Oryctolagus cuniculus: one gene and its partner. The protein of the gene in region 1 binds, or shares a complex with, the protein of each later gene. Links are inferred from orthologs where the notes say so. Each region holds a gene or a part of one and is shown in the gene's direction. Other genes may lie near its edges.

Region 1 (3,517 bases):
ATTGGGGCCATTTGAGGAGTGAACCAGCAGATGGAAGATTTCTCTCTCCCTCTCTCTGTCAGTAACTCTACCTCTCAAATAAATAGATAAAATCTCAAAGAAAAGCAAGCAAGCAAGCAAGCAAGCATGCTAAGCCTGAAAAAGTCCCTCAGGGGTCATTGGGTCAGCACGACCCACATGGCTTTTACCATAGGGTGTGTTATTCAAAATAAGCCTACCCTGACTGTGCAAGGAGAGGAGGAGGCAAGAGTTGGGCTGCTCCCTGGGAAGCAAGTGTCGGGGTGCTGCTCACCCTCGGGCTGCCTCCTCCCGATTGGTCCTAGGCCCTTGGGCTGTTCCTTTCTGTCCCCGAGAGGGGACTGGAGCTCAGCCGTCTCCCCGGGCTCGGGCTCGGGTGGAACGCATCGTGGGGGCCCCGGCTCCGTGGGGTCTGGTGATGCTGTCTGTCCTTGCAGGTCAAGCTGGGGAACCTGGAGCTGTTTGTGGAGCAGGAGTCGGTCCCCTCCACGTGGTATTTTCTGATCGTGCTCCCCGTCTTGCTGGTGATCGTCATTTTTGGTAAGTGCCCTGTGTAGTTTGGCCAAAGGAATCCTCCCCAGCGGCCTCTCTCAGGCTCTCTGCTGCCGTTGAGTGTGAACGGGGGAGAACTCAGATCAGAACTCTGGGGAAGGCTGAGCGCTTTCTGCACATTTTTAAGGAGGCCTCGTGAATACAAGAGTGCATTTCAAAGATGGGGTCCTGGGGTGTGAGGACCAGACTCCACTTGGCCTGGGCCACGGCCGCAGATGCCCGCTTGGGTCATTCTCTTAGAATTCCTCTGGGGTTCCAGACTCCCAGGGCTGGGTTCCCTCCTCCCACCTTCTCCCCTCAGCAGGCGCTGCCTCCCACTTCCACCTCAGCCCTGCCTTCCCTGGCAGAACCAGACGTTAGACGTGAAATCGGGGTCACCTGTTGACATGTTCCCAGGCTCCCCAGCGTGCCGAAATCCCCTGCTGATCCCCTTGACCTATGTGGCTCACTGTTGGGTTTTATTTGGCCACAGGACATTTCTTCAAGTCTGAGAGAAGCTGACAACATTTGAAAATTAGATGATTTACATTAAAAAAAAATCTCTTGACAGTTTGCAAGATTGGGATCCATGAATCTCAGTTTTTCCACAGCGTCAGTTTACTGGAGCTGAGAGGCAGCTGCCCTCCCAGACAGGCCGTGTGCTCCTTGGGTGTTCACCACAGTCTCCACCGCTCCCTATTAACTTCTTCCAGACCACTTGATCCATCTGAGTGTCTGGTTCCTGTGGCCATTTGGTTTGCAACCTCTGGTTCTGAGCTGCCTTTCATTTCTGTTTCCCCCCATCCTTCGTTGAAAAAAGAATTCCCTCCACCAACGAAGCTGGCCCTTCGTGTCCTTTGATTGGATGCAGCCATTCATGCTGTAACGTTTTAGGCGAATGGAGGCGGATGCTACTGTTTTCTTCCATAGCCTCCTCTCATTCGTTCACTCCTTCCTGCATTCATCCGTCTCTTGTTTACTAAGCATCTGTTATGCTGCTGCTACAGCTGTGCCAATCTCTGGATCTAGAGATGAGTTAAGGCCCGGCCCTTCCCCTCGCGTTGTTCACAGTCCAGTGAGGGAAAGATTTATGTGTGTAATTAACTGGCTTAATGTGATGAATTCGCTCTGCCGGCACCCCGTTTTGCCCTGCGGATGATCGCTTCAGATTTTTTTTTATAATGCCCTCCCCCGAGTTGCCCACCCCTGTTGTATATTTGCAATCCAGAATCAGGCTTGGCAATTCCATCTACTCCTGGCTGCTGTCTGTCGGCTCTGAGAAAGGAGGCTACCCACACAGGCTAGACCCGCGGGGCTCTTAACGACCTGTGCCAGCCTGGCCAGGAGCCGCGTCTACTTAGGGGCGTCCCGGGAAGCTGCCCGCTTCTCCCTGCCCATTCGGGGCTCTCTGTGCCTCTCCCTCCACTTTGCGGGGATTGCTGCTGCCCTTGAAGGTGGCTTGGGCTTGGTTTTGACACAGGGCTCTTGACTGCATTTGGATCTGCAGAGCCCTTTGCCCTCCTGGTCCCCTCCCTGCGGTGACTCCAGGCAGGAGTGTGCAACCCGCACCTGCAGTCGGTCCCAGCTGGCCCGGGGCCTGCCACCTCCGAGATGTCCCCCAGAGACGTCTGCTGTGGAAAAACTCCCTGCATTATGGCCGCAACCTCCCAGCTTCCTTGGCGTGTGTGAACCAGGGTTGCCCAAAGGGCAGCCTGAGCAACCATGGTCCCAGGTGACACCCCTGAAAAGGGGGGTCCCGCGGGCAAGGAAGTTTGGGAACCACTGACATCCTACACTTTCCGGGAAGTGCACAGAGCGTGCTGTGTGAACGGGTCCAGTGAAGGACCATAATTGACTTTGTTTCTCCCCACATCATTTACGTGTAAGGTAGCAGAGCGCTTGTGTCATGTAATCGCTGTTAGAAGAGGGGCAATTCAAGGAGTAATGGTCCTTGGTTGTCAAGTACTTACTTTTCTTCAAGTGTGAGTTCTCTCTGTTTTCTGTAACTTACTTACTGTCCGTCTGCCAGCATCCCGATGAGGCGGGCACTCGGACAGATAAAGCAGCCGCGCACAGAGATGCGAAGAACTTCCCGGGGGGTCACCCAGCTCGCACATGACAGAGCAGGGACCTGAGCCCAAGCACCAGCTCCCTTCCGTGTACTGCCTTGCCAGCACAATGAGAAGCGAAGTCAGGTGGCAGGAGCAGCCCGATCTTGGCAGCTCCCAGCTCATGGCGCCCTGTTAGCGCGAGGCGAGCTGGGCTTGCGCGAGTGCAGCCCGCTGTGTGGACCTGAGGTTTCTTTCTGCATCTGCAGCACAGCCTTATTTCTCCAGGGATGTTTAGAAACATCAGAAAAAGAATGGAACAATATGAGTGGCCTGCGGCTGCGGGGCAACTGGGCTGATTTCATTACTTTTCAGCCAACTGGGATCTTTGGTTACAAGTGAAGGTTATTTGATTTAGTTTTCCCTTTTAAGATGAGTGGATTTTTTTTTTTAATGTTGTATTTTAGCATCTTCCTCTTAGAGTGACCTCTTCATGGGAAATTTTCTTTTTATAAAATGCAGCTCTTAAACACAGTTTTCCAGTTTCCCCATCGACCCCGCTCTCAAACACGCTCCTCCCTCTTTCTCTTATTGATTGAGCCAGCGGTAAAGCTTGGTCTGCACTGTTGTTTGTCTTTCTGAGTCCACGTGTCCCTCTGACCAGAGCGTCTCTCTCTCTCTCCCCAGCGGCCGTGGGGGTGACCAGGCACAAATCCCAGGAGCTGAGTCGCAAGCAGAGCCAACAGCTGGAGCTACTGGAGAGCGAGCTCCGCAAAGAGATCCGTGATGGTAAGCGCTCAAATTTTATTTGTACAAAACAAGCCTTTCTTTATTTTTATATTTTTGCCTGTAAGTGAAAAAAACCCGGCCAGGGTAACGAGAAGTGTTGGTAGAACAGAAGACAACTGAACAGCAGGGCC
Region 2 (2,895 bases), on another chromosome or scaffold:
CCCTCTCACCCCTCACCTGGGGTCGTCTGAGCCTGAGCTGACTCTCTGCCCCGTCCACAGACAAGGGCACCATCCACAAGGTGGTGGAGTCGGGGGAGGGGGCCCACAGCCTCGTCTTCAACATCATGGAGATCCAGCCCTTCCGCCGAGCGGCCGCCATCCAGACCCTGTCGCTGGACCCTGACCGGGTGAGCCTGCCCTGCCCAGCCCCGTCCTGGGGCTCCTGCACGTGCGATCTGTGTGTCCAGCCTCTGGCAGACCCCCCAGCACCTGGGGGCTTAGGACTCAGCGGCCCTGGCCTGACCTGGCCCCTGCCCACCTCTTGCAGCGGAAGCTGTACGTGACGTCCCAGTGGGAGGTGAGCCAGGTGCCGCTGGACCTGTGTGAGGCCTACGGCGGGGGCTGCCACGGCTGCCTCATGTCCCGAGACCCCTACTGCGGCTGGGACCAGGGCCGCTGCGTCTCCATCTACAGCTCCCAGCGGTAGGTCGTCCCTGGGAGAAGGGGACGGGGAGCGGGGGAGGGGTTGGTGGGCCGCAGGGCTGAACCCCCTGTGCTGAGCCGGTCTCCCCCTTCCCGCCCTAGGGCAGTGCTGCAGTCCATCAACCCCGCTGAGCCGCACAAGGAGTGTCCCAACCCCAAGCCAGGTACGGCGATGAGCCCCAGGTGCCCTGGTGGGAGGGGACGTGGCCTCGTGCTGAGGCCCCCGGAGGGGTGGGAGCAGGGAGACCGGGGAGAACAGAAGAGCAGGGGGCTGCCCCCCACACACCCCGGGTTCACTGGGAGACCCTCCCCGCTGAGCCCCGGCCCCTCCCCACCCCCCCAGATGAGGCCCCGCTGCAGAAGGTGTCCCTGGCCCGGAACTCCCGCTACTACCTGAGTTGCCCCATGGAGTCCCGCCACGCCACCTACTCGTGGCGCCACGAGGAGAGCGTGGAGCAGAGCTGCGAGCCGGGCCACCAGAGCCCCAGCTGCATCCTGTTTATCGAGAACCTCACGGCCCGCCAGTACGGCCACTACCGCTGCGAGGCCCAGGAGGGCTCCTACCTGCGCGAAGCCCAGCACTGGGAGCTGCTGCCCGAGGACCGCGCCCTGGCCGAGCACCTGATGGGCAGCGCCTGCGCCCTGGCCGCCTCCCTCTGGCTGGGGGTCCTGCCCACGCTGGCGCTCGGCCTGCTGGTCCACTAGGGACCCCCAACCCACCCCCCTCCCCGGGGGCTGCCCACGCCCCAGGCTTCCGACGCCCCAGGGCTTCTCCAAAAGTCTCCTCCTCAGAGCCGGCTGGCCCGGGAGCCCCTCCTCTGCTGCTGCCTCCCCGGGTCAGAGGAGCCCCCGGGGGACGTCCAGCCCAGCCGCGGGCGGCTGCGGGGCCCCGGGAGGGGCAGTGACAGACCGAGAGGCCGCAGCACCGGGGATGTCCCAGGACTTAGACTTTCCAAAAGCTCCTGCTTGGACTTAGGGCAGCGATGCCCACCCGCAGGGGTCAGGAGAGGGCAGCTGGGCCTCGGGGCTGAGGTCCGTCCGGGGCCTTGTGGCCCCCCTTTCTCCACTGCCTGCTTCCCCTGGGCGGCCGGCATCCTGCAGACCAGGCCCCCTCGCGCGGCCCTGGGTCCCGCCGGACGGCCGCCTTGCATGTTTATGGAGGATGTTTGCTTTCCGGGCAGAAGGACGGAAAAAGCTCTATTTTTATGTTAGACTTATTTCATGTATAGCTACTTCCGACTGCATCCGTATGAAAATACCAAAAGCCCTTGCTGGGGGCGGGGTGGGGGGTGGCGGGGAGGGGACTGGGGGAGAGGGTGGTCCCTGTCCGAGGCTCCCAGGGGGGCGGGGGTGGGGTGGGATGAGGGTCCGGAGACCGGGGTAAGTTCGGGAAGGGTGGCAGGAGCTGGCCCTGGCCTGGGAGCTCGGTCCCAGGGGACATTGTCCAGGCCCCCCCCCTCCAGGGGAGGGGGTGGTTGTGGGCAGGGTCGGGTGCGGGAGACAGGCGAGAAGGAAGCCCTGGGTGCACCGTTGGTGTTGCGGAACGGAGCCAAGTCCTCAGGGGGAGGTTCCAGGACTCAGCCCCTTGGCGTTGGGGGTCGGGGAGGCAGGGGGCGCCTCCTCCCTGCCCCTCGGCCCCCTTCCCTGGGGGCTGTGCTTCCATGCTCCTAGCCTCCCACCTTCAGCTCAGGACTCGTCATAACTTAAGCTAAACTGTGAAAAATTCCGTGGGGACGGCCCTGCCCCCAACCCCGGCCGTGGATTTTGTCCCGAGAGCTGGGCCCCTTCTCCGGCTGGGTCTGGCTGCTTGGGGCTGGGCCTGGGGCCCCTGCATCTCTTCTCAATGCACTTTAATAATAATGTAACATATTACTAATAAACGAGCTATTTATTTACCGGTGCCTGCTGCTTGCTGCCCAGCGGGGGTGGGGGGTGGGGGCTCCTGTTTTGCAGATGTTCTCACTGGGAGGTGAGAGGTGGGAGCGGGGGCGGGGGGGGGTCTGAGCCCACACCCCCCACCCAGCCTGACCTGGAGCCCCAGGACTTCTGTGGCCTTTTCTGCCTCCCTGGTCTGCTCCAAAGAGCGCCAGGCCTCCCCTTCCTTCAGGGCTGTTTTGGGAGGGAGCAGTATTCAGACTGGGCCCCGTGGGGTGACAGAGGGGCGCGTCGTGTGCAGGCGCTGAGGCTGGGTGCTCACTCCCCACCGGCCACCCCCGGGTGGGGGTCTGGGAGAGAGCTGTGTGTGGGGATGGAGGTGGGGACCAGGGCAGTGCTCTGGGATGGAGGCGGGGTGCAGGGGGAGCCCCCATGGTCCCTGCAAGCTCTCACTGCCCAGGGTGGCTGGGAGCACTTCTGAGCAGGAACTGCTGGAGACGTGTGTGGGGCAGTTGGGACAGTTCCCACCTGCACTGG

What was found. Proteins that work in one complex are often made in the same cells at the same time.
Region 2: the proteins of PLXNC1 (region 1) and SEMA7A are in contact, whole or in part, in a crystal structure (PDB 3NVQ), measured with the Homo sapiens proteins. The link is inferred for Oryctolagus cuniculus from reciprocal best matches to the Homo sapiens genes PLXNC1 and SEMA7A. Residues at the interface, in NP_005752.1 of Homo sapiens: Arg131, Thr151, Glu152, Val153, Asn195, Pro196, Ala197, Ala198, Ser199, Asp200, His201, Thr203, Ala206, Lys208, Arg213, Ser214, Leu215, Ala216, Thr217, Gln218, Glu219, Leu220, Arg222, Lys224, Glu272, Ala350, Ser352, His353; in NP_003603.1 of Homo sapiens: Gln194, Tyr196, Asn197, Gly198, Lys199, Arg202, Arg204, Tyr213, Ser215, Asp216, Thr217, Gln270, Gly271, Gly272, Glu273, Ser274, Ser275, Leu276, Val278, Ser279, Lys280, Pro372, Thr375, Glu376, Phe378, Gln379, Asp382, Arg383.

What each region holds. Positions count from the first base shown.
Region 1 is NC_091442.1:97,251,964-97,255,480, forward strand, and holds part of PLXNC1 (plexin-C1), read left to right. Parts: intron 1-455; coding exon 456-558; intron 559-3,284; coding exon 3,285-3,386; intron 3,387-3,517.
Region 2 is NC_091443.1:109,255,735-109,258,629, forward strand, and holds the end of SEMA7A (semaphorin-7A), read left to right. Parts: intron 1-60; coding exon 61-188; intron 189-328; coding exon 329-483; intron 484-585; coding exon 586-647; intron 648-826; coding exon 827-1,188; 3' UTR 1,189-2,378; downstream 2,379-2,895. UniProt on the Homo sapiens protein: Plays an important role in integrin-mediated signaling and functions both in regulating cell migration and immune responses.